7 linked regions of the Callithrix jacchus genome follow. The protein of the gene in region 1 purifies or fractionates together with the protein of each later gene. This does not show direct contact. Links are inferred from orthologs where the notes say so. Each region holds a gene or a part of one and is shown in the gene's direction. Other genes may lie near its edges.

Evidence for each region.
Region 2: the proteins of LARP7 (region 1) and SRSF6 purify together in Homo sapiens (affinity purification with mass spectrometry; 3 studies listed by BioGRID and IntAct, with this or other methods). This does not show direct contact. The link is inferred for Callithrix jacchus from reciprocal best matches to the Homo sapiens genes LARP7 and SRSF6.
Region 3: the proteins of LARP7 (region 1) and DRG1 purify together in Homo sapiens (affinity purification with mass spectrometry; 3 studies listed by BioGRID and IntAct, with this or other methods). This does not show direct contact. The link is inferred for Callithrix jacchus from reciprocal best matches to the Homo sapiens genes LARP7 and DRG1.
Region 4: the proteins of LARP7 (region 1) and ZC3HAV1 purify together in Homo sapiens (affinity purification with mass spectrometry; 3 studies listed by BioGRID and IntAct, with this or other methods). This does not show direct contact. The link is inferred for Callithrix jacchus from reciprocal best matches to the Homo sapiens genes LARP7 and ZC3HAV1.
Region 5: the proteins of LARP7 (region 1) and HNRNPA1 purify together in Homo sapiens (affinity purification with mass spectrometry; 4 studies listed by BioGRID). This does not show direct contact. The link is inferred for Callithrix jacchus from reciprocal best matches to the Homo sapiens genes LARP7 and HNRNPA1.
Region 6: the proteins of LARP7 (region 1) and CCNT2 purify together in Homo sapiens (co-immunoprecipitation; 3 studies listed by BioGRID and IntAct, with this or other methods). This does not show direct contact. The link is inferred for Callithrix jacchus from reciprocal best matches to the Homo sapiens genes LARP7 and CCNT2.
Region 7: the proteins of LARP7 (region 1) and RPL11 purify together in Homo sapiens (affinity purification with mass spectrometry; 3 studies listed by BioGRID and IntAct, with this or other methods). This does not show direct contact. The link is inferred for Callithrix jacchus from reciprocal best matches to the Homo sapiens genes LARP7 and RPL11.

What each region holds. Positions count from the first base shown.
Region 1 is NC_133504.1:84,550,024-84,554,144, reverse strand, and holds part of LARP7 (la-related protein 7), read left to right. Parts: intron 1-3,394; 5' UTR 3,395-3,396; coding exon 3,397-3,598; intron 3,599-4,121. UniProt on the Homo sapiens protein: RNA-binding protein that specifically binds distinct small nuclear RNA (snRNAs) and regulates their processing and function.
Region 2 is NC_133506.1:38,841,650-38,846,551, forward strand, and holds the start of SRSF6 (serine/arginine-rich splicing factor 6), read left to right. Parts: upstream 1-1,890; 5' UTR 1,891-2,028; coding exon 2,029-2,135; intron 2,136-2,355; coding exon 2,356-2,504; intron 2,505-3,752; coding exon 3,753-3,877; intron 3,878-4,007; coding exon 4,008-4,216; intron 4,217-4,473; coding exon 4,474-4,557; intron 4,558-4,657; coding exon 4,658-4,902. UniProt on the Homo sapiens protein: Plays a role in constitutive splicing and modulates the selection of alternative splice sites. Plays a role in the alternative splicing of MAPT/Tau exon 10. Binds to alternative exons of TNC pre-mRNA and promotes the expression of alternatively spliced TNC.
Region 3 is NC_133502.1:201,906,179-201,910,299, forward strand, and holds part of DRG1 (developmentally-regulated GTP-binding protein 1), read left to right. Parts: intron 1-1,831; coding exon 1,832-2,001; intron 2,002-4,121. UniProt on the Homo sapiens protein: Catalyzes the conversion of GTP to GDP through hydrolysis of the gamma-phosphate bond in GTP. Appears to have an intrinsic GTPase activity that is stimulated by ZC3H15/DFRP1 binding likely by increasing the affinity for the potassium ions.
Region 4 is NC_133512.1:108,285,539-108,288,667, forward strand, and holds part of ZC3HAV1 (zinc finger CCCH-type antiviral protein 1), read left to right. Parts: intron 1-626; coding exon 627-889; 3' UTR 890-3,129.
Region 5 is NC_133510.1:65,267,863-65,272,695, reverse strand, and holds the start of HNRNPA1 (heterogeneous nuclear ribonucleoprotein A1), read left to right. Parts: upstream 1-1,895; 5' UTR 1,896-1,956; coding exon 1,957-1,971; intron 1,972-2,529; coding exon 2,530-2,646; intron 2,647-2,936; coding exon 2,937-3,083; intron 3,084-3,220; coding exon 3,221-3,431; intron 3,432-3,531; coding exon 3,532-3,624; intron 3,625-3,710; coding exon 3,711-3,803; intron 3,804-3,940; coding exon 3,941-4,015; intron 4,016-4,219; coding exon 4,220-4,375; intron 4,376-4,833. UniProt on the Homo sapiens protein: Involved in the packaging of pre-mRNA into hnRNP particles, transport of poly(A) mRNA from the nucleus to the cytoplasm and modulation of splice site selection.
Region 6 is NC_133507.1:95,699,754-95,703,874, reverse strand, and holds part of CCNT2 (cyclin-T2), read left to right. Parts: intron 1-1,782; coding exon 1,783-1,911; intron 1,912-3,627; coding exon 3,628-3,688; intron 3,689-4,121. UniProt on the Homo sapiens protein: Regulatory subunit of the cyclin-dependent kinase pair (CDK9/cyclin T) complex, also called positive transcription elongation factor B (P-TEFB), which is proposed to facilitate the transition from abortive to production elongation by phosphorylating the CTD (carboxy-terminal domain) of the large subunit of RNA polymerase II (RNAP II).
Region 7 is NC_133508.1:60,429,550-60,434,402, forward strand, and holds the start of RPL11 (large ribosomal subunit protein uL5), read left to right. Parts: upstream 1-1,782; 5' UTR 1,783-1,805; coding exon 1,806-1,811; intron 1,812-2,558; coding exon 2,559-2,709; intron 2,710-3,777; coding exon 3,778-3,884; intron 3,885-4,853.

The sequences.
Region 1 (4,121 bases):
CCAAGCTGGGCAGATCACCTGAGGTCTGGAGTTCAAGACCAGCCTGACCAACATGGTGAAACCTCGTCTTTAAAAAAAAAATTGAAAAAAAATTTTGAGTCAGAACATAGAGTCCATGGTGATAAATTGCAGGAAATTCTACCAGAAGGTAGACAATCTGGGATCAAACATACCTGAGACAACTTACTTAGCTAGCTTTGACCAAGTGACTTAACCTTTGAGTCTTAAGAAGATGGAAGAACCAGCCTGACCAACATGGCACCCTGTCTCTACTAAAAGTACAAAAATTAACCATGCATCCCAGAGGCGGAGGTTGTAGTGAGCCAAGATTGTGCCACTGTACTCCACCCAGGGTGACAGAGCAAGACAGTGTCTAAAAAAAAAAAAAAAAAAAAAGGAAGAAACTGCTACCTTGTGGGATTGTGAGGATTTACAAAAATGTATATAAAGTAACTGGTGGTGTTACATGGTAACTTTTATTCCAGTAAAATGTTACTTTTTTTTTAAGCAATGTTTTCTTAAATTGTGTATTATGTTACAGGAAGGTGCTTAGGAATTTCAAATGTTGCATGTTTTGACATAAGCATCACAAAACCAAGTCTGTATTTTAGATGGGTTATACATAGGCTCCTGCTGAGAACAGATGACTTACAGAACAGTTTATAAACTGTGGCCATATTCTAGTGACAGTAGTTGCAGAAAACACTGGATGGAGATGAGGAGCCATTTCAAAAGTCAAACTGATAAGATTTAACAACAGATTGAATAGAATAATGGTTACTTATTGTGTTCTGTGTATCAGCAATTTGAAGTACTTTATTTTCATTATTTTGGCTAATGCTGACGACTATTACATAGGTATGATTTTTATCCATGTTTTATAGACCACAGAGAGATGGTGTAACTTCCTCAAAATCCACACAGCTAATAAATAGCTTGATTGGTTAATTTTTGGTGGAATATGGCATCCTTAAATAAGTTGAAGGAGGCCAAGGTAGGTGAATCACCTGAGGTCAGGAGTTCAAGGCCAGCCTGACTAACATGGTGAAACCCCATCTCTACTAAAAATACAAAATTAGCCAGACATGGTGGCAGGCATCTGTAATCAGCCTCCCAAAGTGCTGGGATTACAGGTGTGAGCCACCATGACCAGCCGAAGAAAGTATTTTCAAGGAGGAAGTTACCAACTGCATTTGCTGCTGAGAGGTCAAGTAGACCAAGCCCATTGAGGACTTTGCAGTATCTCTAGAATGGTGCAGAGGAAAGCCTGACAGAATGGGTTGAAGTAAGACCATTAGGTGAAGAACGTGGTTATGTGGTACTTAATGACACCTGATTGTTTTTCTATTATTCTGACCTGTAGCTGTGTTTTATGTCTTAAATTAGCATCACCTAAATATGATATTACTTGGATATCTTCAAACTTGGTGCTTGACTGATCTACTGAAGCCTGTTCTAAAATGCCAAAATGTCCTTCTGTTGATGAGAATGCATGTTTAGTTGGAGATTTGAGGTGAAATGCATTAAGGGCTTTGGACCCTCTTACCAGCTATCAGACTCAAGTGATTCAAATACTATGTTTACCAAAGAAAGATACAAGGCAAAAGATAGGGTAGATATAGCTTCTTCATCCCAGCAATGGCCAAGCCATTATATCTAGCAATTACCCAGATTCGTTTCTTTTTTCTCCCATTTACCCACAAGAGGCATGTATGGCTTCCCTAGATAAGGACCAAGGTGTGTTTAGGATAATTTGACACATAAAAGCTTTAACACCTTTTGCCTGTCAATCTGTTGTTCCGGTCACATAGGTATAAGGCCTCCATGTCATTCAATAGCTGCTCCAAACCAGGTACAACATGGGAAACAGATACAACACTCCCCATTGGTTTCTCCAGTTTCCAAGAAGACTGTATTATGGGAGACTGAGGTTATTCTCAAGCAGGCTGTGTTATCCCAGACCGGATCCTTTGCTCATATACCTCAAGTGATTCAATTCATTCAACAAAATGTAGGCACAATTTATTCAACAGATTTTTAAGGGACTGTTGTGGCAGGGACTGACAATCTGTCAGTAAACAAAACAGACAAAAATCTCTGATTTCATTGATCTTACATTCTAGGAAAGAAAATGAATTGCAAAGTAGTTGTAGTAATGTTAGATGATAAATGCTATGGACGAAAATAAGACATGGAAGTTACCATGTATGTGTCCAGAAATTTGCATTATTAAATATGGTTGTGGGAGGAGACTTCAAAGAGGTGACCTTTAAATAGGCACTTGAGGAGGTAGGAGAGCAAGCTGTTATCGCTGGGGATATGTGTTTCAAGAACAGGTTTAGACCTGATAGATTTTGCTGGGTGAGTTTCAGGAAGTACAACAAGGACAGTATGACTGGAGCTGACAAAGCAAAGGGGAAGAGCTATGCAAAGTAACTTGAGGAAGGAGGGGGTTAGAAATTGCTGCCCAAGAGGCCAGGCGTGGTGGCTAAGGCCTATAATCCAAGCACTTTGGAGGCCAAGGCAGGCGGATCACCTGAGGTTGGGAGTTCAAGACCAGCCTGACCAACATGTGAAACCCCATCTAAAAAAAAAAAAAAAGATTAAAAAAAAAGTAAAAAAAGAAATTTCTGCCTCTAGAAAGCATAAATTAACATTTTAAAAATCAAAATCAATAATCAGTTTATTTTTATTTTGTCCCATAAAGGTTATAATATTAAAAATCTGAATAGGCCGGGCACACCGGCCAATGCCAGTACTTTGGGAGGCCAAGGCAGGTAGATCACCTGAGGTCAGGGGTTCCAGACCAGCCTGGCCAACATGGTGAAACCCCATCTCTACCAAAAATATCAAAAGTTAGCCGGGTGTAGTGGTGGGCACCTGTAATTCCCAGCTACTCAGGAGGCTCAGACTGGAGAATTGCTTGAACCCAGGAGACGGAGGTTGCAGTGAGCCAAGATCACACCATTGCACTCCAGCCTGGGCAACAAGAATGAAACTTCATTTCAAAAAAAGAAAAGTGAATAAAACTTATTTGGTGGGGGAGGGTGGTGGTTGTGATGGAAAATATCCAGGTTGCTTAATCTTACACTTTTCATTTACTGGCTTAAAAGTACAGCTTAGTGAGATAAACGCATAGTTGTTATGTTATACTAGAATAATCTGGCCCTGCAATTTAAAAGGTGGAAAAAAACTAAAGCTGCGATTTCTAACATAGGAGGTAAATTATTTTATAATTTAAATTATTAAATATAAAAATAAATTTTCCTTTTGTCTTCTGACAGCCAAATGATGAGACCATTATTCTCTCAGACAATTAAAGGCTACTCTAAATTAAACTATATTTGCTGTTTTGCTGATTTAAATATTTACCTCTTTTTCTTATAATGCACAGGAATGGAAACTGAAAGTGGAAATCAAGAAAAGATAATGGAAGAAGAAAGCACTGAAAAGAAAAAAGAAGTTGAAAAAAAGAAACGATCACGAGTTAAACAGGTGCTTGCAGATATTGCTAAGCAAGTGGACTTCTGGTTTGGGGATGCAAATCTTCACAAGGATAGATTTCTTCGAGAACAGATAGAAAAATCTAGAGATGGATGTAAGTTTGCTTCAGTAAAGGGACCAACTTGTGGATAATGGTTGCCTCTGAATTTAATGGTTGCCTCTGAATTTACTTATAAAGTAGTATATTCTTTTTTTTTTTTCTTTGACACGGAGTCTTGCTCTGTTTCCCAGGCTGGAGTGTAGTGATGCAGTCTTAGTTCATGCAACCTCCGCCTCCCAGGTTCTAGCAATCATCTTGCCTCAGCTTCCCTAGTAGGGTCTACAGGCACACACCACCATGCCTAGCTAATTGTTGTATTTTTAGTAGAGATGGGGTTTCACTGTTGGCCAGGCTGGTCTCGAACTCCTGACTTCATGATCTGCCTGCCTTGGCCTCCCAAAATACTGGGGTTACAGGCATGAGCCACCATGCCCAGCCTAACATAGTGCTGCTTTTTTTTTTTTTTTTTTTTTTTTTTCCTTGAGATGGAGTTTCGCTGTTGTTACCCAGACTGGAGTGCAATGGCACCATCTCGGCTCACCACAACCTCCGCCTTCTGGGTTCAAGCAATTCTTCT
Region 2 (4,902 bases), on another chromosome or scaffold:
CTGCCTCCCAGGTTCAAGCGATTCTCCTGCCTCAGCCTCCCGTGTAGCTGGGATTTATTACAGGTGCCTGCCACCATGCCGGCTAATTTTTTTTTTTTTGTATTTTTACTAAAGACGGGGTTTCACTATGTTAGCCAGGCTGGTCTCAAACTCCTGACCTCGTGATCCACCTGCCTAGGCCCCCCCAAAGTGCTAGGATTACAAGTGTGAGCCACCACGCCTGGTCTTTTTTTTTTTTTTTTTTTTCCGAGACAGGATCTCAGTGTTGCTCAGGCTGGACTGCAGTGATGCAATCACAGCTCACTGCAGCCTAGACCTGCACTCAAGTGATCCTCCCACTTCAGCCTCCCTAGTAACTGGGAGTACAGGCATGTGACACCACGCCCAGCTAATTTTCACAATTTTTTTTGTAGAAACAGGATCTCGCCATGTTGCCCAGGTTGATATCGAACTCTTGGGCTCAAACAATCCTCTCACCTGGGTCTCCCAAAGTGCTGTGATTACAGGAGTGAGCTACCATGCCTTGCTCCTTTTTTTCTTTCTTTGAGTCGGAGTCTCGCTTTGTCAACCAGGCTGGAGTGCAGTGGCATGATCATAGCTCACTGCAGCCTTGAACTCCTGGGCTCAAGCGATCCGCCTGCCTCAGCGTCCCAAGGTGCAAGGATTACAGACTCATATTTTTAATTTATCTAACTTTAAGCACGGCCTGTACCTCCCCAAGTCGTGACAAACAACGACGTTTTCCTCCAGACTACCTTAGCTCCAGGAGGGCAAAACCACCCTTTTTCAACCAGAAGTTGAAGGATATTGAGGTCACACCACTCAAAACAGAGCGGGAATACAAAAATATCAGAGCTGGTGTTATCTCAGTGATACCTCTTTTAACTTCAGTGACACCCTACTCTCGTGGTCTTCTCCTACCTCCCTAGCCACTCTCCAGTCAGTCTCCTTTCCTGTACTTAAATTTCACAGTACCCCAGGAGTTGGCCAGGGTCTTCCGCTCTCGACTGAAACTTATTTCTTTGAGGTTTTCATCTAGTTCTCCAACTTTAAATAGCATCTCCATTGATAAGCTCACAAATAAGGCACTTTCAAGTCAGTGGAAGAAATGACAGAAGAACAAAGGACTTTCCATATACGGGGGAAAAAAAAAATCGTTCATCGCTGTGGGAGGGCTGCCGGATCTCGGCCGCGCTCCCTTTTGAGCGCCTACAGTGAGAGTAGGATTCCCACAGACCCCCAATCCATAAGTGAGTCAGGGCTCCAAGAAAGACCCACGGAGGGAGAGGGGAACGTCCGGGGAGGCGGAGGCTGATGAAGGCTGCCAGTGAGACCCGCAGAGGCTGATGTCGGCAGGTCTGCGCGCTCGCAACCGGACCCCCCCACCCGGTCAGCAGGAGGACCTTGGTGCGCGATCCTCGGATTCCGCGAAACCCGACAACCGACTGGATCCAAGAGCGCGGTCACCTCTAAAGTGACCATCAACCAATCGCTGGAGGAAATCCGCAGCCTCGTTTTAAGCGACCAATCCGAGACCGCGACGACCTATTATGACACGCTCGAGAACCAATGAAAAATGGGAATTCTCTTAGCCTGCCTCCTGAGTTTCAAGAGATCGCTCAAAGTTTTATAAACGGTACAAATTAGAAAACAACTATTCTGCAGCTGGATTAGAGACATTGTGTTTTCAAAGACGGTGGAGAGGACTGGAGTAAATTCTAGAACCGAGCAAGACCGCACTACCCCAGAACGTCGCAGGCAGCGGACTAGCTACTCACAATCTAGCCCAGGGCCGACACGGGAGAGACGTGCCGCTGCGCGCTGACGTCACGTGCCAGGCCCCGCCCCACCGGCCGCCCATATAGCGTAAGTCTGGCGCGCGCGCGCACCATTGTGTGGCTGGACTCGGCCGCCGCTGCGGTGTGAGGCGCGTGTTCGAGCTTTTGCCGTCCCCGCACCCGCACCGCGGCTACTGGCTTGCGGTCCGCCGTTCAACAACCAGCCCTTGGGCCCCTGCCCGCCACGGACATGCCGCGCGTCTACATAGGACGCCTGAGCTACAACGTCCGGGAGAAGGACATCCAGCGCTTTTTCAGTGGTTATGGGCGCCTCCTCGAAGTAGACCTCAAAAATGGGTGAGTCGGGCCTGAGCGCCCGCGCCTAGCGTCCCAGGCCTGGTGGCGGCGGGAACTCTCCTAGGAAAGAGGCGGCGAAGGCCGCGGCGCCGCGTGGCAGGGCCTTCAAGATGGCGGCGGCGCGGCGCCGCGGGGGCGCGCGGCGGGTTGCGGGCGCGCGCACGTGCGTGCCCTGACTAACGACGCCCCCGTCGGTATCCGGCCCTCGCACCGCCCCCAGGTACGGCTTCGTGGAGTTCGAGGACTCCCGCGACGCCGACGACGCCGTTTACGAGTTGAACGGCAAGGAACTCTGCGGCGAGCGCGTGATCGTAGAACACGCCCGCGGCCCGCGTCGCGATCGCGACGGCTACAGCTACGGAAGCCGCAGTGAGTCCCACCCCCGCGCGCTCCGCGCCCTTGGGGACCCTGGGGGGCGGGGGTGTGTGGGGTGGGGCCTCCCAGCCCGGGCAGGCGCGAGGACCGGGGGTCGTTTGACTCGGGAATCCCCGAGTCCCGCCGCCTTCACGTCTGCCCGGGGTAGGCATGGGACGCCGGAGCGCGGGGATTGGGGTGTTTGGTTTTGTTATTTGCCAAGTTGGGAGGTGGGTGGCTTCTTCTGGCCCCTTGTCAGCACTGTCACGGGTTCTTCCCACAGAGGAAGTAAGGGGTGGCTGTATTTGTTGTATCCCCCTTACTTACCTGTCAGTGCATTAGTTAGAGGATTAGAGGCAGGCTGGGGTGGAGGGGGGCGGGGGGGACGGGGGACGGGGAAGGGAGGATCTTAAAGTACAGATTTTAAAGCTATGGAAATTGATGGGGCCAAAGAAAGTACTATTTCAAAGTAATGTGGTGTTGTACCACAAAGTAGATCTAAATAAGCTTTATGCTGTATTTGAACTAGTTGGGGCATGTTATTGGGAGGAGGTGGGGGGATTTTTGGTTATGTTAAATGTTTGATGTTTAAACTGTTGCATGTTGAATTCAAACTTTTTAACAAGTCCTTGATGTTTCAATTTGAAAGTGACCAATGGGGCTGAGGCTGTGTCCACTGAGGCTAAGATGACTGCCTTTCCTGATTGGCCTTGGCTTTTCCATACATTGTGTGACCCTTGCCCTATGACCCTTTGGCTGACCTTACCGGAAGCCATGACGACAGCAGCCTTTTGCCATTAGACGCAGGGTGATGGTGAGGATTCCAAGGGTTAGACAAAACTGGTTAATCTGAACTAGGTGACTGTTACCTTGCGTGTTTTGTGGCCAAACCACCACCAAAAACCTCACACTGTGATGTAAGTACTTAGTGTAAAACTAGTAAACATTTTTGTAAAATGTAGAAATGCATGTAATCAGTTAAGTTTTATATTTTACAATGTTCTGTAAAATAAAACTTAGCGAGGTAAATTGAATAAAGGAGCAGTCACTCTCTAACAGATTGTAGGAGAGGTTTAGTTGGATTTAGTCTATTGGACTTGCCCTTAATTTAATTTATGGCAAATCGCAAATGTGTCAAAGGTTTAGCAATATAATAGCAAAGTCCTACTCCAGTAAATAAAAGTTGATATGTTTGTACTAACTTTCAAAGACATGCATTTCTATCATTACAAGGCATCTAATTGTTCCCTTCATGTGATAAAGGTGGTGGAGGTGGATACAGCAGTCGGAGAACATCTGGCAGAGACAAATATGGACCACCTGTTCGTACAGAATACAGGCTTATTGTAGAAAATCTTTCTAGTCGGTGCAGTTGGCAAGATTTAAAGGTGTGTGCTATAATTCAGGCTACGAGTGAATGCTTTAAAGTAGCCTTTTTTTACATTCTTATTTCTGGGAATTTATTGTAATATATAGATCTTTCAAGATTTCTGAGTATGACTAGTCTTGCCATTTTAGGATTTTATGCGACAAGCAGGTGAAGTAACCTATGCAGATGCCCACAAGGAACGAACAAATGAAGGTGTAATTGAGTTTCGCTCCTACTCTGACATGAAGCGTGCTTTGGACAAACTGGATGGTACAGAAATAAATGGCAGAAATATTAGGCTTATTGAAGACAAGCCACGCACAAGCCATAGGCGATCTTACTCTGGAAGCAGATCCAGGTAACTTGTGGGGAGGAAACAATATTTGCCAATAAAACAAAAAGGAAGTAATTGGGTAATTTCAGTTGTTGCCTACTTGAATTAAAGCCAGCTTTTAGTTTCTCTTGGCTATAATTGGGTTTTTTTCTAGTTGTTTTGACAGATTTAATTTTGTAGTAAAGAAATACATTATTCTTTGGCTTATCTATTTTTGCCAAATAGCACAGATTTATTTAAGGTGGACTGGGATTAAGAGTTCATTGTGTTTTTCATAATAGGTCTCGATCTAGAAGACGGTCACGAAGTAGGAGTCGCAGAAGCAGCCGCAGTAGATCTCGAAGTATCTCAAAAAGTCGCTCCCGGTAAATAATGTGTTGAGTCTCTGAATATTACTGTACTTGTTTATGGAGTTACGTGTATGTTCCTACAGAGTTTTGAGAAAATTGGTCTTCTCTTGTCCAGTTCCAGGTCGCGGAGCAAAGGTCGGTCACGTTCTCGATCAAAAGGCAGGAAATCTAGATCAAAGAGCAAATCTAAGCCCAAGTCTGATCGGGGCTCCCATTCACATTCTCGAAGCAGATCTAAGGATGAGTATGAGAAATCTCGAAGCAGGTCTCGGTCCCGATCCCCCAAAGAAAATGGAAAGGGTGATATAAAGTCAAAATCCATGTCAAGGAGCCAGTCCCGTTCCAATTCGCCACAACCTG
Region 3 (4,121 bases), on another chromosome or scaffold:
GTGAATGGATAAATAAAAATGTAGTACTGATTAGTTATAAAAAGAGATGAATTACTGGTGCATACCCAACATGGTTGAATGTCAACAATATGCTAAGTTAAAAGATCCAGGCACAACTGGGCATGGTGGTATATACCTGTAATCCCAGTACTTTGGGAGGGTCACTGAGCCCAGGAGTTTGAGGTTACAGTGAGCTATGATCACAGTACTGTATTCCAGCCTGGGCCAAAGAGGGACACCCGTTTCTTAAAAGAAAAAAAAAAATTTTTTTTTAAAAGAAAAAGGCCAGATACAGTGGCTCATGCCTGTAATTCCTGCACTTTGGGAGGCCAAGGCAGGAGGATTGCTTGAGGCCAGGTGTTAGAGGCTACAGTGAGCTATGTCATGCCACTACACTCCAGCCTGGGCAATAGAGTAAGACTGTCTCAGTTAGTCAATAAAAATAAGATATCCAGGCACAAAAGACTACATTTTTTTTCCCCATACAGATTGGATCTTACTTTGTTGCCCAGGCTGGTCTCAAATTCCTGGCCTCAAGCAATCCTCCTGTCTCGACCTCCCAGATTGCTAGGATTATAGGCATAAGCTACTGTCCCAGGCCAAAATAATACATTTTATATGATTCCATTTATACAAAATTCTAAAAGTGCAAACAAACTACCTATGGTGACAGAAAGCAAATCAGTGGTTGGCTGGGAATAGTATAGTGGGGAAGACTGAAAAGAGGCACAAAGGGTTGGGCACAGTGGCTAATGCTTGTAATCCTAGCACTTTGGGAGGCTGAGGCAGGCAGATCATGAGGTCCAGCCTGGCAATGGAGCGAGACTGCCTCTCAAAAAAAAAAAAAAAAAAAAAAAAAATTGCTAACCAAGGCCAGGTGAGGTACCTCACATTTGAAATCCTAGCACTTTGAGGGGCTAAGGCAGGCAGATGGCCTGATCTTAGGAGTTCGAGACCAGCCTGGATAACATGGTGAAACCCCATCTCTACTAAAATAGAAAAAATTAGCTAGACATGGTGGCATGCACCTGTAGTCCCAGCTACTTGGGTAGCTAAGGTAGGAGAATTGCTTGAACCCAAGAGGTGGAGGTTGCAATAAGCCAAGATCGTGCCACTGCACTCCAACCTGGGTGACAGTGAGACTCCATTTCCAAAAAAAAAAACAAAAACAAAAAAAAACGCTAACCGGATAATATTCTTTCACAGTTCTTCCTATTTTAAACCTTTCTAACCCGTATCTGAGGATTTAGTTTATTTCCTGGTTTGTATCTTTATTCTGACTTGTTTTCCTGCTATTACATCTAGAAAATGTGTCAACTCTTGGGCAAATATGGTACTGATTTCATGGCATACAAAGCAAATTGACTTCCGGTATAAATCTTTCGTAGTTATAAGAACTTTATGGCTGGGCACAATGGCTCATACTTGTAATCCCAGCACTTTGGGAGACTGAGGCGGGATTGCCTGAGGTCAAGAGTTCCAGACCAATCTGGCCAACATGGTGAAACCCCATCTCTACTAAAACAAAAAAATTAGCTGGGCTTGGTAGCATTCACCTGTAATCCCAGCTTCGGAGGCTGAGGGAGGGGAGTCGCTTGAACCAGGGAGGTTGAGGTTGCAGTGAGTTGAGATCGCACCACTATACTCCAGTTTGGGCAACAGAGCGAGACTCCATCTCAAAAAAAAAAAAAACAAAAAACCTTCATATGTGTATGTATTACAGAAAATCCTTTGACAGACCCTTAAATGTAGGGGGAAAAACACCTCTACTTGAGTATTTGGGTTAAAGCTTTACTGAACTGTCTTGGGTATTTTTTTTCTTATTTTTCAGTGGCCCGAACCTGTAACTTGATCCTGATTGTTTTGGATGTCCTGAAACCCTTGGGACATAAGAAGATAATTGAAAATGAACTGGAAGGCTTTGGCATTCGCTTGAACAGCAAACCCCCCAACATTGGCTTTAAGAAGAAGGACAAGGGAGGCATTAATCTCACAGCTACTGTAAGTGGGGAAGACTACATGGGCAGACTGCTGTAGGAATTAGAGTGGGGAGTGATGTGCATGGACATTGACACTGGAAAATTTCCTGGCTTTTCCCTGTACTAGTTGAGATAACACAAATGACTTCATAATGACTGACATGAAAGCCTTTAAGACTACGATAGGAGCCAGTCTCAGACTTACCTTTGCCACTTATTTCCTCTTTTCGGTTATTTATTGGGGATAATATGGGAGTGTGGACCAGTTTTATGCTTGCATAAGGTAGATGGCCGCCAATATCTTCTGTTTTCATTCATTTAACACAATTCATCGAGTGTCTGTCATGGGCCAAGCATTATTTTAGGCTCTGGGAAGAGGGAACAGCAAAAATCCCTCTTTTGTATTCTAATTGGATAGAATGCAAACCAGTATTAATGAGTAAAATATAATGGATTAGTCAATGACAAATGTGAGAACAAAAATAAAGTAGGGAAAGGAGATAGAGTGTTGGTGTGAGGGTTGCAGTTTTAAGGTTGGTTGGGGAAGTCTTCACTGAGGTGACATGAAGGTGTGAACCAAGTGGGTATCTTGAAGAAGAACATCTGCTTCATGCAGAAGGAACATCCAAGAGGAAAGGTGCTGAGGCAGAGCATGTCTTTCTATGTTTGAGGAACAGCAGAATGGGCAAGTAAGAGAGTAGTAAAGATAAAAGCATAGCATAGGGACACATGTGCTTTTACTTTACAGGAGATGGTTAACTATTGGTTGGATTCTGTCCCACAACTAAACATGATTTGACTTAGGTTTTATTTATTTATTTATTTTTTTAAAGACAGAGTCTCACTGTGTTGCCCAGGCTGGAGTGCAGTGGTACAAATCTTGGCTCACTGCAACCTCTGCCTCCTGGGTTCAAGCGATTCTCCTGCCTCATTGTCCTCAGTAGCTGGGATTACAGGTGTGTGCCACCACACCCAGCTAATTTTTGTATTTCTAGTAGAGATGGGATTTCACCATGTTGATTAGGTTGGTCTCGAACTCCTGACCTCAAGTGATCTGCCTGCCCCAGCCTCCCAAAGTGCTAGGATTACAGGTATGAGCTACCGTGCCCAGTTGACTTAGATTTTAATGGAATAATTCTGGCTCTTGTGTTAGAATAGACTGCAGTAGGTTAAGACCAGAAACAGAAATAATTTAAGAGGTTATTGCAATAATCCTGTCAAGAAGTAATGGCTTCTTGGACCAGAGTTGTAACAGTGAAGGAGTTGAAAGTGGTTGAGTGTGGAAAGATTTTGAAATAGCTGATAGTAATTACATCTGGATTGTGAAAGAAAGCGTCAGAGATGCCTGTTTTGTTTTTTATTTTTTAATTTTTTTTTTTTTTTAGAGACAAGATCTCATTCTGTCGCTTAGCCTGGAGTTCAGTGGCACAGTCATAGTTCACTGTTACTCAAACTCCTGGGCTCAAGCAACCCTCCTACCTCAGGCTTCCAAGTAGTTAGGACTGTACTCACATGCCACCACGCTTGGCTTTTTTTTCTTTTATTTTTCTTTCTTTTTTTTTTTTTTTTTTTTTTTTTGTAGAAATGGAGACTTGCCATGTTGGCCAGGCTGGTCTTGAAATTTTGGCCTCAAGCTATTCTCCTACTTCAGTCTCCCAAAGTGTTGGGATTATAGGTGTGAGCCACCATACCTGGCCACATTTTTTTTGTCCTGAGCTAAAAAAAAAAAATGAGCTCTTATTACTAAAATGGTAGGACTTTTGGTAGAATAGGTTTGGAGGGAAGAAGAAGATCAGGATGTTAAGTTTTAGATGCCAGTTAGACATCCAGTTGTTTCTGTCAAGAAGGCATGTGAGGTAGGCCAGGCACAGTGTCTCACATCTGTATGTCTATAATCCCAGCACTTTGGAAGGTTGAGGCAGGAGGATCACTTGAGTCCAGGAGTTGAAGACCAACTTGGGCAACAAAGTGAGACCCCATCTCTATAAAAAGAAGAAAATAAAAGAAGGCATGAATAATTATCTAGGCTGGATATATAAATTTGGTGATTTTATATAACTTTAATGTCATAGGCCTAGCTTAGATCACCAAGTAAATGAGTATAGATAGAAAAGAGAATCGGCAAAAAAAAGAAAAGAAAAG
Region 4 (3,129 bases), on another chromosome or scaffold:
TAGATTCTCTGGTCATTGAGCATATTCAGGTGAACAAAGCACCCAAGACGTGCCACCAGACTCACAGAGCTCATGGTTGGATTAACTCCTGCGTGAGCTCCCCCTGCCACGCAGAGACGGTCTTCACTGAAAAAGAACACAGTGTCCTAATCCACAAGAGGAGGTACCCAGAAGAGAAAGATATCCCAGAAGAAACTGAAGAAGCAAAAACTTACGGCACAGGAATCAATTTAGCGTAAAATACATGCAAGTAGGAGTTTCAAAAATGGGCAAAAGACCTGAAGAGACATTTCTCAAAAGAAATACAAATGGCCAATGAGTTCCTGAAAAAATGGTCAACATCACTAATCATCGGGGAATTGCAAATTATGCAAATTAAAAATGAGCCCAGGAGGTCCAAGGCTGCCGTGAGCCAAGATTGAACCACTGCACTCCAGCTGGGATTACAAGCATGAGCCACCACGCCTATAAACATGTTTTCAAGTGCAAAGGAAAGTTGATAAGTATCAGTAAGGTATTATTGATATATGCTTAATACAAGCCCATTTGATCATGTATAACTAATCTTATAAACAATATACCTTCTTTTATCATCACTCTTAACCTTTTTTTCTGATTCCTTCTAGGAAGTTACTTTGCAAAAGATGCCATCTATTCCCACAAAAATTGCCCATATGATGCCAAAAACATCGTTATGTTTGTAGCCCGAGTCCTGGTTGGAAATTTTACTGAAGGAAATATGACGTACACGAGCCCTCCTCCCCTGTTCAACAGCTGTGTGGATACTAGGTTGAATCCCTCCGTTTTTGTCATCTTTCACAAAGATCAGATTTACCCACAATATGTGATTGAATATACTGAAACAGACAAACCCTGCGTGATTAGTTAGAACCGATGAATACAGCGTCAGAAGGATGCCATAACTATTCTGTTCCCTTGCAGAATAAATTGCCCCAGAAAGTAAAGTTTTATATTTTAATGTCTTCGATCAGTGGTCCCCAAACTTTGCTACACATTTGAATCATCTGGAAAGTTTTAAACAAATTCTGATGCTCAGGTTGCACCCCATGCCAATTAAATCATTTCTAGGCGTGAATGCCAGCCAGGCAGTTGTATTTTTTAAAGCCCTTCTGATGATTCTGATGTGTTGGAAAGTTTACCTTGTCTCACGTGTAACTGGCAAAGCTGATTTGAAAATTTTCTGTAATTGCAGCAACCTTTCTCTCCTGTCTACTCTTTTAGTTTACCGTATGCCATGGTTTTGTTTTGGCTATATTGAAAGAAAATTAATTTGGGAAATTTGGGAGAAATCTAATCATGCCTGTTGAAATAAGGATTTAAGACATTACAGCCTTAGAAGAACGATTGTGAAAAGCTGGGGAGAAAATGCTTAAGGACATGCTAGGAAAAAAGGAAAAATGGAAATGCTGTGGCAGACATAGCTGCCGTACTGTACCTTATCATTCTGATGAAACTGATTTGGAGCACCCATTTCTTTATCGCTACATTTATTTAGGGGACAAACTCCATCCAGGTTGACTGTCTCTGGAATGTGGTAATAAGAGCTGCCACGTATGGCTCAGAGAGAAGCAACCAATTGGAGTTAATTGCCCATTTGGGCTCTTTGTATAATGATAGCAAAGTAGACATTTATGTTCTAATTAATGTGATTATAGAGAAGGCTTTTTCTCAGGTCAGGCTTTTCATGAAAGTATTTTGAGAACAATGAATTGCAATAACCAGCTTCACACAAGCATGACTGATAAATGCGAGTGCTATTGTAGTCTTGGCAAACAAGCCAAGAACCTAGGAGCCAAGAACCTAGGAGCAGGGCCATTCCTACCATTCCTACCGAAGGGCTGGCCCCCTACGGAGACGAAATTTGTTTCCTGGTGAGCACAGAATCAGAACAAAGAACAGTATCCCAAAGAGGCCCTGTGCCTACCAGGAGCTTCTTTTTCTAAATATAATGGATTAGGTGGAATTGTAGTACCATCGGTTTTTATTTAGAGCAGGTGGAGTGCTTGGACCAATATTTCCTTCTTTCTTATGAACCAGGGTTTTCCTTCCAATTTTCTCTTTTCAACATTCCTTACCAGTCATCAAAGTTTCCTGTTATAATTTCTTCTAGCAGACATGTTAAAGTCAGATTTAATTAGCATCAGAATTGATTTTATATTAGTCAGATTTTGGATCATCACAGAGATCTCCACAACTCTTTGTCTTAAACGACTCCACCAGTAAAAAGTATAGAGATTTTTTTTTAGAGTAATTTTGTGGGAGGGGGACCACAAATGCTTATTCTCATTCACTCATGTTTTTTCATGGTAGCTTTCATTTTGGAGTGTTCATTTTCTGAACTTGATCCTCATATTGTAGGGGTGCAGTGTGTCCAACTCTTTCCAACAGCCCATTAGACACCACTAGCTGGATATTTCACAGGCATCTTTGATTCAACATGTCCACAGCGGAACTCTCCATCCTCCTCCCTCACAAGAATCTGTTTCTCTCCCGGCTTCTGTATGTAAGTGAACAGTATCACCATCTACCGATTGACTCAAGCAGAAATCCAGAAGTCATCTTTGACTCTTTGCTCTCCCTCCTGATAAATGTCTAAGCAGTTTCTAAGTCTAGTTTTACCTCTTACCTATCTCTGTTCCCTTCTAAGTTGTTTGATGTGTTTTCTTCACAGCAAGAGGCTTTTCTTTTTAAAAATGTACTTAGTAATGCATATTCAAAGCACAAATCCCATCAAGTCTTCAGGATAAAGTTCAAAACCACTATCATAGCCCCACGTGACCTCTCCCTCCCCTCCCCTCTGTGATTTAGTTTCTTCTGCACAAGCCACTCTGGCTTTCTTTCAGTTTTGTGGTTCACATTTTCAGCTAGTTCAGTGGTTCTCATTGAGCACTTCTGCCTTTTTTTTTTTGACAAATACAAATGCATCTTCTCTATTATCCTCAAAATCTAATTCAGAGGTGATATGCTCCACCTACACACAATTTTAGAAATAAATTAAGAATTAAGTAAAACTAATATTGACATAAAAAGGAAATAAAGGATACCTAACTTGGGAACAACTATAATTGAAGACCTAATGAAGTAGTCAGATGCTTACAACTATTTATA
Region 5 (4,833 bases), on another chromosome or scaffold:
CTCAAAGGAACAGCAAAAAGAGGGGCTTTAGGATATCTTTAATGGTGTGAAGAAAGGGGAAACATGAGCGGGAAAAGTTCCCGGGAGAAAGAGACTAAAATAAAAGCACTGGGTACATGGATTATATAAAACAGAAAAGGGGTGGTATGTGATTATGACTAGAAACACAAAACAACTGACTTCATTTTTTATTTAGTTTTAATCACAGATCATTAACCCTGCAAAGTTTTAAACATTAAAGATCCAACTTGCCTCGATCCTACTGTGTCCCTAGGATTGACACACTTTAGGGTGTAGCTTTCCGAAACTTTTTTATTAGACCTACAACATATTAGTTCAGAAATATGCACTATTAGGAAAGAAATATTTCTCGAACGCCTTTCCATGACAGTATGTTGTGATTTTTCCTATTCGTTCTAACATTTTAACAGCTTCCTAAAGAAGCGACTTCTCAAAGTATTACTTAACAACAACAAAACCCTCCCCTGTTCTCCAAACCTCAAGTGGTGAGGAGGTGGGGGGGAAAATGTCAAGTCGAGGCAGCCAGGAGCAAACTTACGCTTTCAAGGAGGTTTATGGGACAGAGGCCTAAAGGCTTCCTTAGAGAAGTCACTGTGGATAAAACATTCACCCTCACACGCCATTACATTCACCGACTCCCCTTCCTCACAACCCCAAATCGAAGACCTCCCTCTTCTGGAGTCGATTGGACGACTGGTCCGAGCACTTTCCTTAGGCTGTCCGTCTACTGGCTCCAGATTCGGTCCATCAGTTTAACCGCCCGACTCCCGCATTCCCCATTGGAGTCAAACCGCTGCCTCCTGGAGAAGCCCAACCTACCGCGCGCTTCGCGCTTACTGGCTCAGTGAGACGCAGCTCAGGAGGGGAAACCCGTCTCCCACATTCCGATGGCCCCAAGGGCCCATCAGTCGGCAGCTCAAGGCAGACCCAATTGGCGTATACGCAAGCCAGTCAAAGTCTTCAGCTGCACCGCTCCAAAGAACCTACAGGGATTAAAACATCCCGCCCCCTGTTCTTCTATTGGTTGGCCCGACCCACCGCTGCCCTTTCACTATCCCCCACCCCGCGGTCCATTCATTTCACACAATAACGGGCCCAAATAGAGTCAGTTCGAGACCTACGATGGGTAGAGAAGACTGTCTGCCACTTACCCGGGATTGAGAGTGATCACTCACGCTAACGTCTGCCCTGTTGCTGTATGGTGAGGCCGCAACGCAAGCCACCACCGCCACCACCTTCTGCGCAACGCCAACCGCCCGCCAAAACGGATCCTTCCCTGCGCCTGCGCAACCAATCCGGGAACGGACCCTTTCTCCGCCCACCACGCATGCGCAAAGCTGGAACCAACTCCCGCCAATACGCAGGCGCCGTAGGGTCACTGCCTAGTACTGCCCGCCATTTCACGTGTTCCCAGAGGCTGCTGGAAGTTCTTAATGCGCCTGCGCAAAACTCGCCATTTTACTACACGTGCGCTCAACAAGCAGTCAAAATTTTGACCTGCTGGCTAACTGCTTTTCTGACACATAGTGTTAATCATGCTTTGCCAAGCGTAATATTTGTGCGGGGAAGATTAAAAAGGCGTTAAACACCCAAGGTATATTCAAATATGAATGATTTATCGGCTGGCCAATCAGACTGGTTAAGAATAATATTACTCGGGAACCAATGAACTCCAAGGGGTGGAGAGGGCGTAGACCGCCCAAAGGAATGACGTTACACAGCAGTGTGGCACCACAGGCCAATAGTAGGGGGAAGAGATTTCACACATCCAATCAGAACTGTTCAAGGGCGGAGTGTACCAATGCTGAAAGGGAGGAGGCGGGGTAAAAAAGAAAGGCCGAAGGTAGGCTGGCAGATACGTTCGTCAGTTTGCTCCTTTCTGCCCGTGGACGCCGCCGAAGCAGCATCGTTAAAGTCTCTCTTCTCCCCGCGATCATGTCTAAGTCAGAGGTGAGTTAGGCGCTCTTTCCAACTTGAATTTCTTCCTCTTCCTTTCCTGAATTGGTAAGATGCGGCTTGGTTTCGTTCCTTTCACCAGCCCATTCTACAGTTTTTTAGGTTGCTGCCACGGCCTACCCCTCCCAAAGTTCAAGTCGCCATTTTGTCCTGTTGATCGCCATGAGGCCGCTCGCGCCAATCATGAGTTATTATGCAGCACTCTATAGTCTTAGCAAAAATTCTTACGCACATAAGGCTTTTCCTTTTCTAAACCTTGCTTTGGTGAGCGAGTTTTTAAAAGAGCGATTAGTCCCATTTTGGCGATGTACCCCTCCCGCCTAAGCCTTTGTTGCGCGTGCGTCGGAAGGCGACTAGGGACGCATGCGCTTTGGATTTCGCAGCACTCCCAACCCCCAACATACCTTCTCCCCTGTTAGAGAGAAGCACATGGCTTGTTGCAATCTGAACGAACAATAAGTGCTACATACACAGTTGTCTAGTTTTGATTTTCCTCGATGGAAATTGTTTGGTGTTACAGCTCATTTAACACTTCCGCCTCCCCCACTGTAGTCTCCTAAAGAGCCGGAACAGCTGAGGAAGCTCTTCATTGGAGGGTTGAGCTTTGAAACAACCGATGAGAGCCTCAGGAGCCATTTTGAGCAATGGGGAACGCTCACAGACTGTGTGGTAAGAATTGGAAGGGACCAAACAGTAAAATAGTGGATTTCCTTGGTTTATCTTGGGGCGGTTCTCTCTGAATACTTAGGAAGGTTGTTAGTAGTATTATAGCTAGAGCCTTGTTGACGAAGGAAAGTCCTGCTTTGTTTGATAGAGTTACCTCTTAAACCTAGGATAGTGGGAAACTGGAGGGGTTTTTGTACAGGGCTGGTATAAAGTTTCCTATTCCCTTGTTCAAAGTTAAAATTACAAAAGTTTTTGGGGTCAGACTTTGTTACATGAATTAACACTGTTCTCAGGTCATGAGAGATCCAAACACCAAGCGCTCCAGGGGCTTTGGGTTCGTCACGTATGCAACTGTGGAGGAGGTGGATGCAGCCATGAATGCAAGGCCACACAAAGTGGATGGAAGAGTTGTGGAACCAAAGAGAGCTGTCTCAAGAGAAGTGAGTGGTTTTTTTACCCTTCAATTCTTTTGGCGATGTGCTGCTAGTGTATTTGGATTCAGGAGTTTTGTACTTAAAAATTTTTTTATTTGGGTGTAGGTTTGGCTAATCTAAACCTGTGGTTTTCCTCCTATTAGGATTCTCAAAGACCAGGTGCCCACTTAACTGTGAAAAAAATATTCGTTGGTGGCATTAAAGAAGACACTGAAGAACATCACCTAAGAGATTATTTTGAACAGTATGGAAAAATTGAAGTGATTGAAATCATGACGGACAGAGGCAGTGGCAAGAAAAGGGGCTTTGCCTTTGTAACCTTTGACGACCATGACTCCGTGGATAAGATTGTCAGTAAGTATCAAATAGTGGTATTTAGTAAGGGTTCCGCAGTCCATGTGGCGTTCTAAACCCTGAGACCATGTTGTACCTGTCTTCATTTTTTTTTTTTTAGTTCAGAAATACCATACTGTGAATGGCCACAACTGTGAAGTTAGGAAAGCCCTGTCAAAGCAAGAGATGGCTAGTGCTTCATCCAGCCAAAGAGGTATGCTTATTGCTTCATTAAACCTTAAAAGCAACTTTCAGTTACTCCAGTATGAATGATTTAACGTTTAAACTTCATCTCTTTAGGTCGAAGTGGTTCTGGAAACTTTGGTGGTGGTCGTGGAGGAGGTTTCGGTGGGAATGACAACTTTGGTCGTGGAGGAAATTTCAGCGGTCGTGGTATGTACGGCTTATTTACCTGTAGTTCTGACTTCTTACCATCTTTGCTATGCAGGTTTTACAGTACAGGAAGTGCATCCAGAATGTCATTTGATATGCAGATCATGCTTAAAACTTAAAACTTTGTTTTCTTCCAGGTGGCTTTGGTGGCAGCCGTGGTGGTGGTGGTTATGGTGGCAGTGGGGATGGCTATAATGGATTTGGCAATGATGGTAAGTTTTTTAGGAATAAGTAGATAAAAATTCCTGGCAACCTGTGTCTTTAGAATAGGTTAGTCAAGACTAAAATTCTAGTGCATGACAAGCTCAACTTTTCCCATAACACGCATGCTGTGAGCAGGCCTTCAGCCATTACACTTGCACAAGTTTTCATTGTCAAATACTTTTGTCTTATTGAGAAGAATTGTATTCTTGTAGGTGGTTATGGAGGAGGCGGCCCTGGTTACTCTGGAGGAAGCAGAGGCTATGGAAGTGGTGGACAGGGTTATGGAAACCAGGGCAGTGGCTATGGCGGGAGTGGCAGCTATGACAGCTATAACAACGGAGGCGGAGGCGGCTTTGGCGGTGGTAGTGGTAGGTATCCAGTGATCCAAGTACTTGGTGTGACAGCTAGAATAGCCTTTTAGAGCTTGGGTTCTTGGTGCTGTTGAAGCATTGTCTGGTACACTGCATGGTATATTAAATGGGCTTGCTATGCTACCTCCTCCTAGCTTTAAGCTGGGGCCGCCTCACTCCCAATTAGTAGAGATAAGTGGATAATGGTGTCTTTGAGTTAGATTAGTGTCATAGAAGGATTTAGTATCTTAAATGCTTTGGGACCTTAGGCGCTTAGTTGATGGATCCAAGAAATTTCTGATTGCCTGTGGCCCTAGATCTCCCATGAAGGCCTTCAAGGCTGGAGGGTGTGTTTGTGCCGCTATGGAAATCTCTCTATGTCATGGAGTTAGGCCAATTTTCTTACGACTGGATTATTCAACTGAATGCCTTTCCCAGAGAATGAAATGCAAAGATGGAGTCACCATAGTTTGGGA
Region 6 (4,121 bases), on another chromosome or scaffold:
TCTTAATTTTTCTAATCTTTTTCTTGTTGTAATTTTAAAAGGAAGAAATAAGTTGAAAGTCCAAATTAAAATTATTCACTCATTTTAGCGTAACACTATTTCTGGTTCTGGGAAATTTTCTTCACCTCCAGTTTGGCATTATTTCTGTATGGTAATTATTGACTCCCCCAAGATATAATGAGACTCAAATATTCACCTCTTGAAAAGTGGGTACCCAAATCTTGACATTTAGAAATTGTCTTCTCATGGGAAATTTCTTGTATGTAATCTTGAAACATCTGAGTTTATTTTATGCCTATTTTCTGAGTCCACAGTTACTTGGTTTGTTATTAATTTTAGGGGTAGATATTCAAACTTGATATTTTTCTGTCTTAGTTAATATCTTTGAAATGCTGTGTTCTTATACTTTCATCCCAAGGACCTAATTTACTAAGCTTAAAAAAAAAATGCTGGTTTCTGGATCTCTGATTGGCAAAGCTTCTACTATCTTGGTTTGTATTACATGCTTATATCCTGGTGTTATAGCTGCTTTTATTGTTGCTATAGTTAAGTAATAGAGATAATTAAGAAACAGTTTATGTTCAGAATCCTCCTTGTCTTGTCCTCTAGATGCTTTTTCTATCCCTTCAACAAGGTAGTAAAGATAGGTATCTTGCTGTGTGGCAGTTACAGCCACACAATGAATCATTGCTTGATTTAAAAGAGCACTAGAAGATGGTGACTCTGTGCCTAGAAAAAGGAGTATACTGGATAAATTGGACCCGCTTCTCTCTCCCCCCACCCCCGCTCAGGTATAGCATCATCTTTTTGCTTGAGGTATTTTTTTCTTTGCCTCTACAATGTGCAAATTAATATTATTATTATTTTATTTATTTTTATTTTTTTGAGACGGAGTTTCGCTGTTGTTACCCAGACTGGAGTGCAATGGCACGATCTCAGCTCACCGCAACCTCCATCTCCTGGGTTCAAGCAATTCTCCTGCCTCAGCCTCCCGAGTAGCTGGAACTACAGGCGCACACCACCAGGCCCAGCTAATTTTTGTATTTTTAGTAGAGAAGGGGTTTCACCATGTTAACCAGGATGGTCTCGATCTCTTGACCTCGTGATCCACCCGCCTCGGCCTCCCAACGTGCTGGGATTATAGGTGTGAGCCACCGCACCCAGTCTGCAAATTAATATTATTTAAACTTTCTCTTATTTGGCATTTTTAGTATGTTAAATCAACTTTTTAATATATCTTTTCCCCTTTTCCCTTTGTTCTATGTGTAAAATGAGTAAAACAGATTTTATAAAGTAGCACTATTTAATGAATAACTTTATTAAAACTATTAAACAGTCTAGTCATAGCCCAACTCACAGTTCGTACTATTAATATTGCTTTCCTTCCTTGCACACCTCCCTTTTAGAAAATAGAGGGTTTTGGCCTGGTGCTGTGGCTCACACCTATAATCCCAGCACTTTGGGAGGCTGAGATAGGTGGATCACCTGAGGTCAAGAGTTCGAGACCAGCCTGACCAACATAGTGAAGCCCAATTCTACTAAAAATATGAAAATTAGCCTGGTGTGGTGGTGCACGCCTGTAATCCCATCTACTCAGGAGGCTGAGACAGGAGAATACCTTGAACCCAAAAGGCAGAGCTTGCAATGAACCAAGATTGCACCACTCCACTCCAGCCTGGGCAACAAGAGCAAAACTCTGCCTCAAAAAATTAAAAAAGGAAAATAGAGGGTTTTTCAAAATGTATTTGTTTTTAAATCACCAGATTTTTATATTTTCTGCAGATAATATCGCCTACTGCGTTATTTTTGGCTGCAAAAGTGGAAGAACAGGCTCGAAAACTTGAACATGTTATCAAAGTAGCACATGCTTGTCTTCATCCTCTAGAGCCACTGCTGGATACTAAATGTGATGTATGTAAATACTTGGTTTTTAATTTTTCTTTGTAAATTTGAAACTTTTTCATAACGTAGGCCTAATAAAAACACAGTTCAATTAGTGTTGCTTCTAAATGCTGCTTATTTTTATTACCTCTTAGGAATGCAATGCTAGGAAGCAGTCTGGCAGAAAAACATTTCATGTATATTCATGAATTTGGATGTCATTCTGAAATAGAAGGCTTTGGTTCTAGATGCCTTGTAGATTCAAAGATACTTTGTTTCACATTTTGTTGTTCAGAGTTATGACATATGTAGAGGATAAGTCATATCACCTCCACTGATAGCTGTATTTGAGACCAGAATATAAATAACTCTTAAATTGACAGAAGATGAAGGAACAGAAAGTCTTTTGAATTTATCCCTAGACGAGTAGTCTTTTTAAAGTATTTTTCCTTTTTTAGTGCATGTACTACTACTTATCTCTCTGATACATAAAGCTCATTTTACTATGCTTTCATGAGTAGCATTCTTTTAGTATTTTAATTTTCCAAAAGAGTAATGTCACTTTCCAGACAACTTTTCATCAACATTGTAATAAACCTTATTTGAAAGAACTATTTTAAATTTTTCTGACATCTTAAGATGGAAGTTAGAATTGTGGCCCTTTAAAATCATTTTTCTAGCATCCTGGGTTGCTTAATCAGGAACCTTTATTCATTAAATGACTAACAGATTATATTAATTGAAGTTGATTTAAGTTGAAGTCCAGATTAATTTAAGCTTTAATGGAACTATATCTGATTTTATTAATGGCAAGTTTTATCATAGATTTTGGCTTTAAGGGAGTAAACTGTTAATGTAGCCATTAAATAATAATGAGTTTGTCATTATTTAAAGATAATTCAAGCTGTTTCTATTAACTATACGAATTCAGAATTATTTCCAGGGGTACTGTTCAAATAATAGAAATTCACTATGTTTTAAAAATCAGCTCAGTGACCTTTCAGAATAGAGCATAAATAAAATGAAAGGTGCTTTTACTCTCTGGCTTTAGCAATATGTCCTTACAAAAATGAATATAGGTATATTCATATAGGTAATATAGTATTTCCTTATCACCTTGGTCAATTGTCATGATTTCAGAATAAGATAGCAGTAAATTTTTCATATCCTTTATTTTCAGAGTAATTGTAATGGAAGGATAATTTCTTGCAATTGAGTAAGATGGGTTTCTGGTATTTATGTCCCCATGGGTATGAGATAAATTATTTTGGTATGTTTGGTCACTCCTGAGGTAGCAGAGAAGTTAATTCTGGATTAACTCCCTGACTTACTGTGACTTTCAAGGAATTACCACATGAAATGTCCTAGAGTGAGTTTGTAAGCCAGGTTTGAGTTCGATGTTTTTAGTTGACTTGGTGCTTCCTGTCTTTAATATCTCTTGAAGCACCAATGCCTAGAATGTTTCACTTTACAGACTGTGTACATCTTAGTTCAGTTAACTTACCCCCTTTCATATTGTTTACTTTTTCGTTTTTTGCTGTTTGTTTCCTGTTGTAGAAAATAATTCATTTCAGATTTGCTACAGAATATATGTTTTCTCTGTTACCCTCAGTTTATTTTCTCCATATTTCCAAACTATTGCAGTTCTTTTGTAATCAACCTGTAATTCTCACAAGATGTAACAGTCATGTAGTCTAGTAAAGTTATTTTTATTTTAATCAATTTGATAATATTTTTATCAAACAGGCTTATCTTCAACAGACTCAAGAACTGGTTATACTTGAAACCATAATGCTACAAACTCTAGGTACGTACTTATATCAGATAATGGCTTTTTGTTTGTACTTCAATAAAGTATTCTAAATAAGAGAAAAGATTTCTGAAATAATTTTATTATTGAAGAAAGTTATTTTAAAACAGATTTTAGACCAGAATACAATTGCTGGGTTATGAGGAAATTACTTTTCTAGAATTTAATTTCATTTGGCGTAATTAAATTAAATGGTAAACATACCTTTCAGTGTGATTTCCTAAGTGTTCGGGTAGTTGAAGTACTGTGCTTCACTCTGGATTTGCACTGGAGAGTAAAATGCTCCTTTAGGGCTGTTTCATATTGTGATGTGGACAGGCATACACAGCAATCCTTGTTCTCCTTGAGCTTCCAGTCGGTATTTTATGAGTATATCGCATGATTTTTAATGTGACATATTATTTAAATGTCGGTCATCCTTTTCTGAAAG
Region 7 (4,853 bases), on another chromosome or scaffold:
AACAGAGCAAGACCCTGCCTCAATAAAAAAGGGCGGATGACTCTGGAGGAAATATTTTAAAAAGCCATCCAAGAGAATGCCTCCTTTTCCCTAGGGGGACCCACTTCCTGCTCCCTCCAACTGCTCCTGATGTTTCTTCTCAACCTAAAAAAAATACAGTGTACAGTAACCTTTTGATCAAAACCCTGCATCGTAAGTGGAGACTGAAAGCCTGCCATTTGTGGTTGCTGTTTTTTGTTTTTATTTTTTGAGACAGGGTCTCAGTCACCCAGGCTGGAGTGCAGTGGTGTGATCTCGGCTCACTGCAAGCTTCCTCTCCCTGGTTCAAGCGATTCTCCTGCCTCAGCCTCCCGAGTAGCTGGGATTACAGGCGTGCACCACCAGGCCCGGCTAATTTTTATATTTTTAGTAGAGACTGGGTTTCACCCTGTTGATCAGGCTGGTCTCAAACTCCTGACCTCTACTGATCCACATGCCTTGGCCTCCCAGAGTGCTGGGATTACAGGTGTGAGCCACGGTACCTGGTCTGGTGTTGGTGGGGAAGGGTCACCATTGTTTTACAGCTGATCCAGGTTTTCTGGTGATGCTCCTCTGCTGCTTAGTTACCCTGAACTTCTTCACTGTATTAATGACATAACATATATTTTGCTGTTAAGTACTTATGTATGAATAAGCATAATAAATTATTGCTTATTAGTAGCATATATATTTAGAGTCTGGAACAATGGTTATGCCAACCAACCAGAGTGTCCACAAGGGTGGCTGATAGTAACACCTTTGCTTTCTCATGGTTCAAGGTACACAAACTTTCTTAAAATATTGTATAAAATTACCTTCAGGGTATGTGTATAAGTTATGTATAGAACATAAATTAATTTATTGTTCAGAGTTGGGCCCCATCCCCAAGATATTTCATTATGTTTATACAAATATTCTAAAATCCAGAAAAATCCCAAATCCAAAAAAGTCTGGTCCCAGCGTTTTCAGATTAGGAATACTCACCCTGTAGTAATTTGCCCAAGGTCACATAGCTACTAGCTGGTCGAGACGGGGCCACATCTGCCTGTCTTCAAGCTCGGGACTCTTAAGCCACCATTCTGTTCCGTTTGCATAAATTCTATTTGTGCCAGGCGTGGTGGCTCACGCCTGTAATCCCAGCACTTTGGGAGGCCAAGGCAAGTGGATCGTTTGAGGTCAGGAGCTTGAGACCAGCCTGACCAACATGGTGAAACCCCATCTCTACTAAAAAAAAAAAAAAAAAAAAAAATTAGACGGGTGTGGTGGTGCACACCTGTAGTCCCAGCTACTTGGGAGGCTGAGGCAGGAGAATCGCTTGAACCCGGAAGGCAAGAGGTCGCAGTGAGTCGAGATCACACCACTGCACTCCAGCCAGGGCAGAGCGAGACTCTGTCTCAATCAATCAATTGTACGGGTTTACATTGTTACAGAATAAATTTGCATCATTATTTGCATGATTGATTTAATGTAGTTTTGGCAGTCTCAATACACAAGGACCACCAGCTCCTGACACTGGGAAGAGAGAACGTCCTCGAGGTCCGGAAACTCAAGAACTTGCTGATTCAGGGAGCTTTCAAAAACTATTTTTGGAAAACCCAGATCCAGGTCTTCAGCCGGCTTCACCTGCAGTTCTAGCACTACCCACAAGGGGGAAGCCGACGCTGCACTGCGCTGCCAAATGTGCCTCTCTTCCTCTTCATCTCTGTGGTTAGCCTGGGAAAAGAACCCGCCTCCTAGCCCATGAGGCCCTGGGCCGGAGGCTCTACTTTCTCTTCCTGTTCTCCATCATGGCGGTGAGTAGCTGGGAGTTGGATTTGCTTTTCTTGATCCGCCTCCATCCATGGCAGGCCGAGTCTGCGGGGGCTACCTCGCCCGCAGCCCGAAGAGTATGGAGCCCGCAATGCTTGCCAGCCCAAGGCTGGCAGAGCCGTTAGGGCCAAGGACGCAGGGTTGAAGCCTATCAAGCCCCCTGCCACCGTTCTAGGAGCTGTTCCGGGCAGTTAGTCGGAGAGCTCAGAAGCACAGCTACTAGGCTGCGGCGAAGGCATATGGGGTGAATAGGGGGTTCTAAGGCAGGGCGTTCGGGGCTTTTCCTGGTCCCAGGCACTTGAGATTACTCGGTGCTGGGAAACTTTAACCGGTTCCTCCGCTTAGGGAAGGCGCCAACCTTCAGACAGCTTCCGAAAGGGATTCAGGACGTTGCGTAACCACGTGCTTCCTGTTAACTCCGCAATTACCTTCTGTTCCCTCACTTAACTCCCTTTAGTTGGTCTTACAGTGGGGGCACTCTTTGTTACCCTGAGCCTCTTAGGGTTCGATCTCGAGTATCCTGAGTTTCTCTTCACCCGTTCCTTTCGTGGAGGAAGAATGGGTCCGGAGCTGACTTCCTTGATGCCTCCCAAACACGTTGATGCCCTTTAAACGTTTAGGATTTTCGTTACGATTTGGGATGAGCAGAAATTAAAATGCTAGGCAGATAGAAGTAGAAACTCAGGGCTGTCAGCTGTGAGTGTATTGACTGCTGCTCTTCCCTGTTGCAGCAGGATCAAGGTGAAAAGGAGAACCCCATGCGGGAACTTCGCATCCGCAAGCTCTGTCTCAACATCTGTGTTGGGGAGAGTGGAGACAGACTGACCCGAGCTGCCAAGGTGTTGGAACAGCTCACAGGGCAGACCCCTGTGTTTTCCAAAGGTGAGTAGTGACAAGGACATACAGGGCTGGCCACTCGGTCACCTGGTTATTTTTTAATTTACTTGCTTTAGAGTCTGTTTAGAAAGTGACAGTTCGCATCACTTACAGCATTGAACTCATGAGCCAACCAAGAAGTGTCTTTCAAGATTGGGTGTGGGATTGGAACATTGGATTTTATATGAGCAGATCTTAAGCTAAGACTAGCCCAAGTAACCAGGATATGAGATAGAGTGGAGTTGTCAGGAATGAAGTAAAGATGATTAGGTTTGATTTGCAGTTAGGGTTATATAGGCTGCAAAAAGAACAGGGCATCTCAAAAGTTATATACTGGGCTGGGTGCGGCAGTGGCTCAAGCCTGTAATCCAAGCACTTTGGGAGGCCAAGGCGGGTGGATCAAGAGATCGAGACCATCCTGGTCAACATGTTGAAACCCCGTCTCTACTAAAAATACAAAAAATTAGCCGGGCATGGTGGCGCGTGCCTGTGATCCCAGCTACTCAGGAGGCTGAGGCAGGAGAATTGCTTGAACCCAGGAGGCGGAAGTTGTGGTGAGCCGAGATCACGCCATTGCACTCCAGCCTGGGTAACAAGAGTGAAACTCCCTCTCGAAAGAAAAAAAAAGTTGTATACCTAGATTGCCTGGATTTGAGTGATGGCTTCGCTCTCTGAGCTCTCTGGACCTCTGCCTTTTTATTTCCATGAAGAGGGTAATTCTTTATAATTGTGGAAGGTAAAATGAATTGTATGTGTGCAGTTGCCTTAGGGCAGTGAAATATGGAAAGCCTTTGGATTCAGCCTTTGATTTCATTACCAGCTGTGATGTTTGGCAAGTTAATAAACTTCTCAAAACTTAACCTGCTGAAGGATGGCTGGATGTCTGGAAATTGGAAAATCTGTGCTGTGGATGAAATCTTATTAATAGATGTAGGCAACACTAATTAGAACACCACAACATAGAGTGCGGAGGAGTACATAATGTCTCTGAGCCATGGAGATAGTGTTCTGGGAAAGAGGTGAGTGTAGTGGGGGTATGATGGCATCTGACTCCTTGTTACCCCCTTTCTGCAGCTAGATACACTGTCAGATCCTTTGGCATCCGGAGAAATGAAAAGATTGCTGTCCACTGCACAGTTCGAGGGGCCAAGGCAGAAGAAATCTTGGAGAAGGGTTTAAAGGTGAGGCTGATCCCGTAATGGAGTGATATTGATCAGCACCCCCTTAGTAACATGTAGATAAGTTACATTTAATGTTCTGTTCTTTGGTGCCTTGATATTTATTAACCTTCTAAAAGGGTTTTTCTGCAATCATCAGGGTTAACTATTCTTGGTGGTTTAAAAGATGCTTGGGGCCAGACACAATGACTCAGCTCTATAATCCCAGCACCAGCTGAGAGCCACGTGGATCACTTGAGGCCAGGAGTTTGAGACCATCCTGGCCAATGTGGTGAAACCCCGTCTCTGTTAAAAATATAAAAATTGGCCAAGCTTGGTGATGGACACCTATAGTCCCGGCTACTCGGGAGGCTGGGGCATGAGGATTGCTTGAACCTGGGATGTAGAGGCAGAGGTTGCAGTGAGCTGAGATCGTGCCACTGCGTTCCAGCCTAGGCCACAGAATGAGACTTTTGTCTTAAAAAAAAAAAAAGATGTGCGGGGTGTGGTGACTCACGCCTGCAATCCCAGCACTTTGAGAGGCCGAGACGGGCAGATCATGAGGTCAAGAGATCGAGACCATCTGGCAAACATGGTGAAACCCTGTCTCTTCTAAAAATACAAAAATTAGCTGGGCATGGTGGCTCATGCTTGTAGTCCCAGCTACTTGGGAGGCTGAGGCAGGAGAATTGCTTGAACCCAGGAGGCGGAGGTTGAAGTGAGCCAAGATTGCGCCACTGCCCTCCAGCCTGGCGACAGAGCAAGACTCTGTCTCAAAAAAAAAAAAAAAAAAAAGATGCTTGGGAGTCATTTCATGCCTCTGCTTTCTCTGGGTTTTTCTCGGCCTTTTGGAAGCTGGGAGAGGTCATATTGGATAGTTGGGGTGTGAATCCGTAGTCTGGGTGTAGTGAAGAAGTTAGATTATGCTCCCAGCCAAGTTTCATCAGCCTTTGTTTTTGCTTTGGGGTGCATATTGCAGGTTGAGCTATTTGG